Linked DNA regions of Ovis aries. The protein of the gene in region 1 purifies or fractionates together with the protein of each later gene. This does not show direct contact. Links are inferred from orthologs where the notes say so. Each region holds a gene or a part of one and is shown on either strand. Other genes may lie near its edges.

Evidence for each region. Proteins that work in one complex are often made in the same cells at the same time.
Region 2: the proteins of C11H17orf49 (region 1) and SMARCA5 purify together in Homo sapiens (affinity purification with mass spectrometry; 5 studies listed by BioGRID and IntAct, with this or other methods). This does not show direct contact. The link is inferred for Ovis aries from reciprocal best matches to the Homo sapiens genes BACC1 and SMARCA5.

The regions. Positions count from the first base shown.
Region 1 is NC_056064.1:26,688,022-26,693,872, reverse strand, and holds C11H17orf49 (chromatin complexes subunit BAP18), read right to left. Parts: upstream 3,399-5,851; 5' UTR 3,335-3,398; coding exon 3,314-3,334; intron 3,129-3,313; coding exon 3,034-3,128; intron 2,411-3,033; coding exon 2,309-2,410; exon of another isoform or gene 2,182-2,308; intron 1,923-2,181; exon of another isoform or gene 1,634-1,922; coding exon 1,443-1,633; exon of another isoform or gene 1,216-1,442; coding exon 1,111-1,215; exon of another isoform or gene 904-1,110; coding exon 839-903; 3' UTR 630-838; downstream 1-629. Other genes in the region: RNASEK (ribonuclease kappa), read right to left, coding at 3,903-4,044, 4,611-4,687, 5,389-5,466. UniProt on the Homo sapiens protein: Component of chromatin complexes such as the MLL1/MLL and NURF complexes.
Region 2 is NC_056070.1:14,452,524-14,457,839, forward strand, and holds part of SMARCA5 (SWI/SNF-related matrix-associated actin-dependent regulator of chromatin subfamily A member 5), read right to left. Parts: intron 3,407-5,316; coding exon 3,240-3,406; intron 1,205-3,239; coding exon 1,104-1,204; intron 1-1,103. UniProt on the Homo sapiens protein: ATPase that possesses intrinsic ATP-dependent nucleosome-remodeling activity.

The DNA of each region.
Region 1 (5,851 bases):
TTCTTGCTTTCCCCAACCCTTCTTGGGGCCATGTTTGCCTTTCAGCCTTCTCTATCTCCCCACCCTTGGTGGTGGTGGGGTCTTCACAGCACTGTCTTGTGCTCCCTTTCTCTCAACCCACCCCAGTCCTGCTCCCGCCCCAGCAGCACACTGTGGTTTGTACGGCACTGTGGCCACGTCCAAACCACACTGTGGTGTTAGAGCGAGGGTGGGGGAGGCGCCGCTGAGGCTTGGCCCAGGAGGCCACCCTGGAGAAGCGACACAGAAAACATCTGGGGCCTTCTGGTGAGGTGGGAGGTGGGGTGGGGTGGGGCGGGGAATGGGAGGTGTGAAAGCCCTGGAAGCTGCCCTTCTGAAGTCCCCAGGGCAGTCTCAGGAGAACTGGCTGCCAGAGACCCCAGAGTACATGCTGCCTCCAGAGAGCAAAGTGGAGTCTTTGTTGCCCACGCCCAGCTCCCCTGGCTCTAGCAGCACAGAAATGTTGGTACTGGGAAGAGAGCCTGCCAATATTGGCTGTGCTGCTCCAGGCAGGGTGGTGAGAGCTGCCGAGGAGGGGCTGAGCCCCGGAGGCTAAGCTGAGAGAGAAGTGTCCCCCATACTCCCGTAATGTCAGGCGGAAAGCACCAGGCTGAGAGGGAGATCTTTATTGTTTTCTGTATAAAAACGTCCATCAGTTGCGGGGGGGGACCCAGGGGTTGGGGTGCAGATGCTCATACGGGAACAGCAAGGTGGGCTGCCCCTGGCAGCCTTTCCACCCTGTCACATGCAGGCCTTGCTCAGAGTCCCAAGCGATCCACAGGTCCAGGGTGAACAGTGAGAGGGGTCAGAGGTGGAAGGCTCAGCATGAGAGCAGAGGAGGATCAGCGGAGGTCAAGAGAAGGCCAGAATCCAGGGTCAGGCTGTCTGGAACAGGAAGTAAAATGGGCCGAGATGGAGCGAGTCCCAAGTAGGACTCCCGCTTCCCCAGAGCACCTGGCTCCTTACAGACCTGACCCCTGCATGCATAGCAGGGAACTTTCTCTTCCCCAGTTCACAGGAGGGGGCTCCTGCTGAGACCCTCCCTACCATCCCCCATCCCTTCAGCTGTTGTGGGAGGAAGAGGACTCCTACCCTGGTCGAAGTTGAGTTTCTTGGCTGGAGGAGTTTCTCCTAGCCCCTCAATATCCACCAGGTCACTGTTGGCGTCCGAGTCGTTCAGAGCACTGAGTGTCACATCTGGGAGGGGGGCACAAGCTAGGTTCTAGGTTCCCTGATGGTTCTCCCCCCACCCCACCCACTTCCCAAAGTTTCAACTTCTCCTTCCCTCCCTTCCCCACCCCAGCCAGTTTCTGGAACCTTCACTGGGAGAGGAAAAGAGATCTGTCCTCTGACCAAAGCCCAACTCTCTCACTGAACCGCGGATGGGACATCTAATCCCCAGGCAGCAACTCCACAGCCCTCACCAGCCTTCTGTTTCTTTATGGGGGGACCCCCGGCCTCAGGGACACTGGAGCTGCTTGGTGGAGGAGCAGTTGAAGGAGGCGACAATACACCAGATGCCACCTTCTTGGGCCCTTTCTTGGGTGAATCGGCTGGAAGGGGGATACCAGAATCTTCATATACCTTTCGTTTCACAGTGGCCTTTATTTGAGCCCTAAAGAGACGAGAGAGCAAGTTAGGAAGGGAGTCATAAAAAAGGCTGAGAGAATAAGGGGGTGGGGGCAGGGGAGATGGGCCACTCTGAAGGAACACTGGGGAGCCCCTTCATAGGAATCCAGGTGAGGGCCTCAACGACCTTTGCTAGGGTTCTTGTTTTCCTGGAAGCTTTGCAGCCAATGAGGGCAAATGGAGCGTGAAGAGTGGAGTCCCTCAACTGAGGAGTGGGAAAGGCCCACCCCCTAATTCTCTTTTGGGAGAGATGTATGGACGTGGAAGACTACCAGGTAAGCCTGGGTGACCTACAGGTAGATTGAAACTTATTAACAGATCCTGATCGACTAGTTCAGGATCATAATATCCCTGGAAACACCACAGGAGTGTTCAAAAGATCTGTATAAATAACCAGGGAATTCCTATTAGCAAATTCAACTATTGGGTATCTTAAACTACTGGGTAACCTAAAATTAAATTCATGTAAGGTCCTGATGACCACAGCATTTTAGTAACTTCTGACCAATTGTGACAATTCTTTTATTCTTTCAGTTCTCAAGGGACTCACAGAGTAGGAAAGATGTTGAGCTGGAAGGGAGTTTGAGGAAGATGGAACAAATGGGTATGGAGGAAGAAAGCTGCCCACCCGCCCTTTCTCTGCCAGCCAGCCCTCCCTCACACTGTCCGTTCCTTGATGACACAGCTGATGTGATTAAGATCGTCCCCAAATCGCTTCACAGCAGCCCTCAGCATCTCTATCTCCGTCTCCGTCCACTTGGCACTGTCAGAAGGGGAGAGGGGAATAGCGAAAGTGGGAAGAGGAGGGATGTGGAGCCAGCCCACAGGCTACGCATTCCACAGCAACCAGCCTCCTCCCTGCAATGTCCGGGGCCCCTTCCATAAAGAGGTCCTCTTTAAAAAACAAACAAAAAAAGCAAAAAAATTCTTAAGGCCCTGTGGGAACCCTGAGGACCCCCATCCAAACGATAATGCAACAACCTTAGAAGAAAACGGCTCCCCCATCAACGTGAAACAGCTACTGTAAACAGCCCACTGAAACTAATTCAACAAGTGGGGGGGTGTCTTACCAACAGACCCCCTAAACACAATCTGTTGCAATCTGATGGAATCCCACATGATTTGGGGTGAATGGGTAGTGGTGATGGTCTATGCTCTGCCAATGCGCAGCAGGACAGAATTGTAAAATGAGTCCAGATTACGAGCCTCAGTCTGTGGTTTATCTGTCATTCATTCATTCAATAATCATTTATTAAGATCTACTCTGCGCTGTGCCAGGCACGAAGGGAAACTAACATCTGTCCCTGCCCTAGAGAGTGTCGGTGTCTGTGATCGAGTCCCAGCGTCTGATCTCAGCGTCCAGGTCCCCAGCCCGGGCTCACGTACCCCGCGGGGGAAGAATCGGCCACGGGATGCAGCTGCATCGTCAGCTCTCCGAGCTTCGTGAAGGCGGCGCCCGCCGCGGAGAAGATCTCTCCGACCTGGGGGCGGGGCAGCGTTACGGGGGGCCGGCGCACAGCCCCGCGCCGTCCCGCCCGGAGCCCCTAGCCCCACCCCAGGTTGGACTCCCGCCCGCCCCCCGCCCGGGACGGAAGAGCCGCGAGCCAACTGGGGGGCCCGCCCTCCCGTGGCCGCCAGGGAGCGCTGTCCGCGAGGGAGGTCGAACCTTTGTGGACGCTGACGTCATGGCCCCGCGCGCCTCCTCACGGAGACGCCGCCGCCGCCGCTACCTCGGAGCCGGGACCGCGAAGAGCGAGGCGGTGCAACGGCTCCAGCCCCCGCGCAGGAAGTCCCGCCCCTTCCCGCAGCTGATTGGCTCCAGTTCGGGCGCTCACCGCCTCACCAGCCGCGGTTACTCAGGCCGCCTCAGCGCGCGGGAAGGAGAGTGGAAGACACCGCCTCACTTCCGGCCCGGTTTCACTCCACTTCCGTCTAGGGGTCGGGATTCCCTATTTGGAGACCGACCTCTAGCCCGGGTACCCGCCTCCTAACCCAGACACACACACAAGTCTTAAGAGAGCAGTTTCTCTTTATTGTGGAACGGGACGAGGCGAGAGGGCCGGAGGGACAGGGAACGGCCAACCCCAACCTCCCTCCACAGAAGCCGGGCGCCAGAGGTTGGAGAACAAGGGATTGAGTCTCTCGCCAAGAAAACCTAGTCCGCAGAGGGCACCAGAATGGGAGGCGGGGGGCTGTGACCTGGGGAGAGTCTTTAAATAGAGGAGGGGGCTGGAGAGGGGGAGCGCCACTGTGCTCTAGCGCACCATGTATTCCTTGCGCTTATTGAGCCGAACTTGACAGAAAGAGAAGCCTCCGAGGAGGAGGTAAAGGCCCGCCGCGATGAAACAGTTGTAGCTGACTTGCTCGTAAAGGTTGTATATGTTCTGGGGGCCATTCCTAGGGGTGGGGATTAGGCAGAGAAATATCAGAAACATTAACAGCACACATTTACGGAACACTTACTATGTGCCCTGTACCCTTCTAAACGCTTTAATGTGTATTATCTTATTCAATCTTCATAACCCTTTGGGGGAGAGTTCTGTTATAGCATCCACTTTGCAGGGGTGGACGGAGGCACAGAGAAATCCAGTAAAATTCTTTTTTTTTTTTCTATGAATTAACTGATTTATTTTTCATAACAGCCCTATAAAGGAGGTGTTATGAGCATCCTCAAAAAATATGGAACGCTTCACGAATTTGCGTGTCATCCTTGCGCAGGGGCCATGCTAATCTTCTCTGTATCGTTCCAATTTTAGTATATGTGCTGCCGAAGCGAGCACCAGTAAAATTCTTAACAGCCACATTTAAAGCGGTGGGTTTAGGATGGTCTCTGAAGTCTGACTCCCAAGACTGTTCCCGGGTGCTAGAGAGAGCACCGTTTCCCAGCCACCGCGGCCCAAGCGTCTAGCCTCCTGCGATTCTCCGCCCCCAATTCTGACCACATCCCCTGCCTCTCCACTTACTCAAAATCTTTCTCCGTGAAGGGGACGTCTTCAATTAACACAGCAGAATGGACATTGAAAAAGATTCCGAGCATTATCTGAAAAAAGAGAAAGAGTAGGTTGTTTTAACTCAGGCAACTGACCTGGTCGCTGCCTGAACTCCTCCCACTTCGAATGTTGCCACAACATCTGGGTCTGGGAATTACAGAATGAGCTGGGATTAGGGATGGTTGTTCCCGGATCTGGACTCCGGTCACCTGGAATAGAGCTTGAATGGTGACACAGAGAAGACGTGGTTGGGGCAAGGGCAGGAATAGTGAACAACCCAGGAACCCTGATTATCCTCCTCTCTGGAGGCGTCATTATCACGGGACAGGGCGAAGAGGGGGGTAGAGGGAATCGGCACTTCTCCATATTATTTCTCCCTTTAGTACAGCGGGTAGAGTCCTGAGGAAATAAGGCCTAGCTATCCATTTCGGGAACAAGCGGTCCCTCTCCCCACTGCCCTCCATTCAGCTCAAGGATCTCTCAAGAACTTAGATCTCCTTCCTCTTACCTTGAGGGTACTCCAGATTTACCAGCCCCGGCTCCCATTCCAACCTCCAGCTTCCCCTCTCCCCTCCAAATCCTCATTTCTCAATCCAGTTCTGTCTTATTCTCCAGAGGCTAATCAACCACCCCCCACCCCCCCAGCCTGTTTGCTGCTTTTCAAGGCCTGGAGTCTCCTAGCCTTCCAGCCCTCCGACACTGAGCCCCTCAGGCCCTCTCCTCTCCGGTAGTCGCCCGGCAGTCCCCTCACCAACATGATCACTCCCCAGGCGCTGAGGACGATGCCGCAGGCGGCCAGCTTGGGCCCACAGCACAGAAGCGACGCCATGAAGAAAGGAGTTGGGAATCGCCTAGATATGGGCCAGATAGGATATCGGTGAGAGGAAGGCCCTAGGAGCTGGGAAAAGGGAGCTGGACTTCAGGGCTCGAGCTGCGGAGGACGTAGAGTAGGGAGGGAGAACGAGGGGGCGTGGCCTCCGGGCTCAACCATCGGGCCGGGGGGGGCACCAGGCGGAGAACGCTGGAGCCTCCGGGTCCTCTCTGGACTTCCGAGGGGAAGGGCGGTGTTTCTCAAATTAGAGTCCATTATTGACCAATATGGATCAATAACTGGGGCGCGAGTTTTGTAGGAGCAAAGTCCTCCGGTTTCTTGGCTACCCCCTCTCTAGTTTGGAATGGGAGGAGCCAGGGTGTCACGTGACCAAGTTCGTCGA
Region 2 (5,316 bases), on another chromosome or scaffold:
CTCTGAGACGAAATGTTAGTCAACACTAGGAAAACTGGTTACACTGTAAGAATGTGAGAAAGAGTCAACTCAAATACTTCAAATTTCCTTTCTCTCTGCACCACAAATCTGGCTCTGGCCTCTAGCTTCATAATAAGAAGTGAAAACTGGGTACTCTGTAGCCAACAGAAAAAAAAAAATCTGGAGATACGCACTTTAACCAGACTAATGCATTTCTAACCAGATCCTACCCTCCTTGAAGTTTAGTCTGCTAAGAGTTCAAGATGACAGTTAATTATTAAAACATCCAATCCAAATTATAAACCCTGTACTACTATAAATTTTTCTTTTGCTCACAACCACTATGATCGTACAAACTTGTCATCAAGTGAGAAAGAGAAAGATCAGGGAAAAAAAATTACTGGGCTCAGTAAAAAAACTGTGCCACCAGACAACCAAGATTATACATGCACGCATGCTACGTCGCTTCAGTCATATCCGACTCTGCAACTTCACGGACTGCAGCCTGACATGGCTACATGGACTGTCCTCTGTCCATGGGACTCTCCAGGCAAGAATACCAGAGTGGTTGCCATGACCTCCTCCAGGGGATCTCCTGACCCAGGGATCGAACCCATGGGTCAGTCTCTAGCACTGGCAGGCAGACTCTTTACCACTAATGCCACTTGGGAAACCCAAGATTATACATAAGTAAAACCTAAACCTGGTTAACCATGTTTTCTTTTGGAAAACCATTTATAAACTTTAAAACAAAGACAAAATCAGGAGATGAGTAACAAAAAGTCTTTAATAACTACCTTTTCCTACACATCTTTCTTCTCTAGGGCAAATATATGGCAAATTCCATTCCCATTTTTACATATACATTCAGGAAACATCAAGCACAATGGTGATTTATGCCCTTTTGAAATACAGCATCACTATCATAATGATATACTATCACTTCTAGCCAAAAAAGTATCTGAAGTTCATTTCACAATCAATAAATTTCAAAGATTACTTAAAATTCCCTTTATAAATTATAGCCAAGAAAAACCCCAACATTAACCAAAGGCTACAAGTGGATGTTTTAAAGATTAAGTAATTAAATATATATAACATACATGATGGAGAGTCTTCAAACCGAGTGCAAACATTGGTTGCTTTGGAGCTTTCTGTTAATAATTCTTCATCTTCTTCTTGCTCTGTTCTTCGGTGTCGATAGCTGCCAAGTGTAAAATAAAATCAAGCCATCTGAGTCTTGGCTTTAATTACCAGCTTTCAACATAGTAGTCAAGAGGCTGACCAATATTTCACAGTATCTTAAGAGGCATGTAAATTAAGACTATAGAGTAATACCTTAGGTTAACCAGAACCTGATAAACATAAATGTGATAATCTAATTTCAATGAAGTATGCAGTAAGAAAAACCTCATAGTTTATATTTTAATGTGAAGTATTTTGCTCCCACTCCAAAAATAGTTCCCCCAGAAATCACATTTTAAAAACTACAACTTTCACCAAAAGCTACAGAATTTGCAGAACAGAGACTTAGGGCTTAAGGCAATGACTCTTTAACTAGAGATTCATCAGAATTACTTGAAGCTTTTTAAATATACATGCCCAGATTTTACATCCCAACCGAGTCACATACAGTCTCTTAAAAACTAATTTTTTGTAGGTATAATATTGCCAGATTTCTTAATCTCTAAAGGACTCAGGTTAGTAAAACTACTTACTCCCCAGTTTTCAAGTTTCCACTTATACCTATATACTTTCAACAAATACTTTCATTTAAATTAGAAAACAGTAGATTATATTCCACTCTTGTGATCTCTATATCTAAATTATTGCTTGATTTCTATTAAAACAACATGCTTTGTGGGAAAGATAATCAGCCTTCCCAGAAAGAGAAACATTCCTCAGAAATGAAAGTGAAGGCAATAAAAATCCAAGGATTTTTATTTTTTAGTAGTTTTTTATTTTTTCATATTTATCTGGCCGCACCGGATCTTGGCTGTGGCATGTAGGATCTCTGATCTTTGCTGTGACACGCAAACTCTTAGTGTGGCATATGGGATCTAGTTTCCTGACCAGGAGTGGACCCCAGGCCCTCTGTACCAGGGGTGTGGAGTCTTGGCCACTGGACTACCTGGGAAGTCCCTTCTTGCTGGTCATATGTGTTTACTTCTTGTGTTTCTCTGCATTCCAATCTTACGAAAACTTAATTCAAAAATCTACCCCTCAACCCCAAGTTACTCTCCATAAACCAAGAGAGAAACTTAACTTTGCTCTTTTTTTTAAAAATAAAATCTCCTTCATAATATACTATCAAGATGACTGATTATTATGGTTGTTAAACTAAAGATAAAAGTTGGCATATGCTTTGTTACTTCAATTAATGGTTACTTTCAAGCAACGAGGTTGCCCTAAATTCATTATTACTAACTAAACATCTTAGTTAGGGCTTCCCTCATGGCTCAGTTGGTAAAGAATACGCCTGCAATGCAGGAGACCCAGGTTCAAGTCCTAGGTTGGGAAGATCCCCTGGAGAAGGAAATGGCAACCCTCTCCAGCATTCTTGCCTGGAAAACCCTATGGACAGAAAGGAGCCTGGCAGGCTACAGTTCATACGATCCCAAGAGTAGGACACAACTTAGCAACTAAACCACCACCAAACATCTTAAGTTATCCAACCAGCACAAATTCTAAGAAAGAATCTATAAATTCAACATGTAAGAATTACTTTACAAATTTTGCACCACCACCTAACAATGGCATCATACAACTTGACATTTCCTTTTATATAAAGAAACTAAGTTTATAACAAAAATTTTAAGTAGACTACCATGACATAAATCATCATACTATCTATAAACAAGCACAGACTTCAGATAACAGCAGTACTCTCAATCCACGTATGTGGTTTAGGAGACTAGAGAATGCCCCAAGTCAGATCTAAGTTCAAAGTCAGATTATTCTAATTCCTTCTATTATGATATTAAGTAGGCCACTTAACCTTTGCGTTTGTTTCCACTCCAAGGAGAAGGTAACATCTGAATTCGACACTCAATCTATATAAAAATAAAGCATTATGCCTATTTTTATTTATTTATACATGTATGGCTATATCCTGCCAAGCCAACTGGGCCAAATAAGTAACAGCACTATAACTTTTTTTAATAAAATGATTTTGTGCTTCTAATGAAGACTATCTAAAATAAGTCTGGTTCAGCTGTTAAGTATCAACTATTACTCACTCGCCAACTGATAGCAAGTTCTGTTTCTCATCCTTTTTTATTCGTGGGCGCCCTGGTTTCATCTTCAAAGGTGAGGTTGGAGTCTTCTGAGCAGCAGGCTGAATGAAATGTGCAAACAGTTCTGTCTGCTTTAATAAATACTCAAACCTATTTGCCCGGTCAGTTTGCTGGAAGAAATATGAAAACACATTTTATCAAAGTATCAATACAAAATCAGAAATCAAAATTTCAACGTCTCCATACAACAATCTCAGCAATAAAAAGGACCTCCTGCTACATGCAACAACATAGATGAGATTCAAAAGTATGATACTATGTGAAAGCAAGCAAGCATGCAACTACACACTATACGACCCAAATTCCAAACAGTGATTTTCTACATGAAATTCTACGTAGTGATTTCTCAGAAAGGGGAGCTGAAGTGTCAGGGATGAGAGCAGGAGCAAATGTCCGGGGGATGACAGAACTGTTCTACATTGTGACTGTACGGTGTCTAAACGGCCTCAACTCTTTGCCAAAACTCACTGAATTAAAAACATAAAACTACTGTGTGTCAGTGATACTTGAATGTAGTTGAAAAAATATCAAATAAAAAAATAAAGACACTGCAATACAGGTATACTTATTCAGAAGAGGGAAAAATGTTGTGACAAATTTTAAAAAGCTATCAGGCTTGAAAAACATCTATTAAGTTCATGAAATATTCATTAACCCTATGTAGTTCTTAATACCATTTCTTATTTTTATATCTAACATCTGCGGCTTTGAGTGTTTCCTATTATCACACAAAAAGAACAGAAGACCAAAAAAACTTAAGACCTTGAAATCAAGTTCTTATAAAAATGAACAATAGAAATCTACAGCCTTTAGACAACAGATTTTTTACAGACACATCAATACTTTGATTTTAAATAAGGAGAAACAAGAAGACAAGAGTTCAATAAACAGAGAAGCCTGTTACTCAGTATCTCTACCCATAAATGCTTAAAATGTCAACTTTACAATGAATCACAAAACATTTTACCTAGCAAACACCAGAGGTAGTCTAATGTGCTTTTTAAATGAAAACATAATTTCTAAACATCACACCAGTGTAAAACAGAAGCCCAATTTGACACTGAAGGCACACGGTGACCACACCTCTCTAGTGCTCAAGATCCTTTAATGGTTCTAGATGTCAAACTGTGGTTCATGATCCATTAGATCAGAAATATCCAAAATCTTTGTTATCTTCTACAAGGTCAAGTCTGAGACTACTACCTTAAAGAACGAAGTATAAACTTCACGGAAGCGCTACAGAAGATTTCATAATTTCCAAAATTCTCTCACTGATTCTCTCACTGACTTACCTATGAATAGGATCTAACAGATGATAAGGAGTCTGCTCAGAAGAAAACTGCTTGTCAAGGTCATAATTTTGAAAAAGGAAATTAAAGCAGGAGACTGAAAAATTTGTAGGAAGTGAGAAAAAAATTGCAATAAAGGGAGCTGTGGAGATGAGAAGCATTGTAAAGAACCACTGAAAACCTCCATTATATAATCAGATCAGTGTCATAGACTTTACAAAAACACAGATCAGAAAGAAGCTAGATCGTGAGAAACGAGCCAAATGAAGATGCCAATGAAATAATTCATGTAACGGAAGAATAATGAACTAGAGTGGCGGGTAAAAGATAAAAAAAAAATTTATGAAGTTAAATCTGCCAAGACTATGACACACTGTTATAAACAGCTTGGGTATTTATTAAGAAAATTTTTCATTCATTGAGAGAACACTAAATAACTGTGTGGGAAACAGATAATGAATTCAACTTCGGATACTCCTAAATAAGACTTACCAAAGGGATTTAAATGTTCAACAAGCAAATGAAAATACAATGATTGGAGGCATCTGAGCTAGAGATAAATATTCAGAAGAACTCATTTAAAAGTGGCAGATGAAAACCAGTGACAAGGCTAACTGTCCAAGAACAAATATTCAAAATGTAATGAAGGACAAATGAATAATCAAATAAATAAGGTATCATCAAAGCAAAAAGGTCTCTCAAGGCAAGAAAAAAATTTGTGGAGTGGCCAA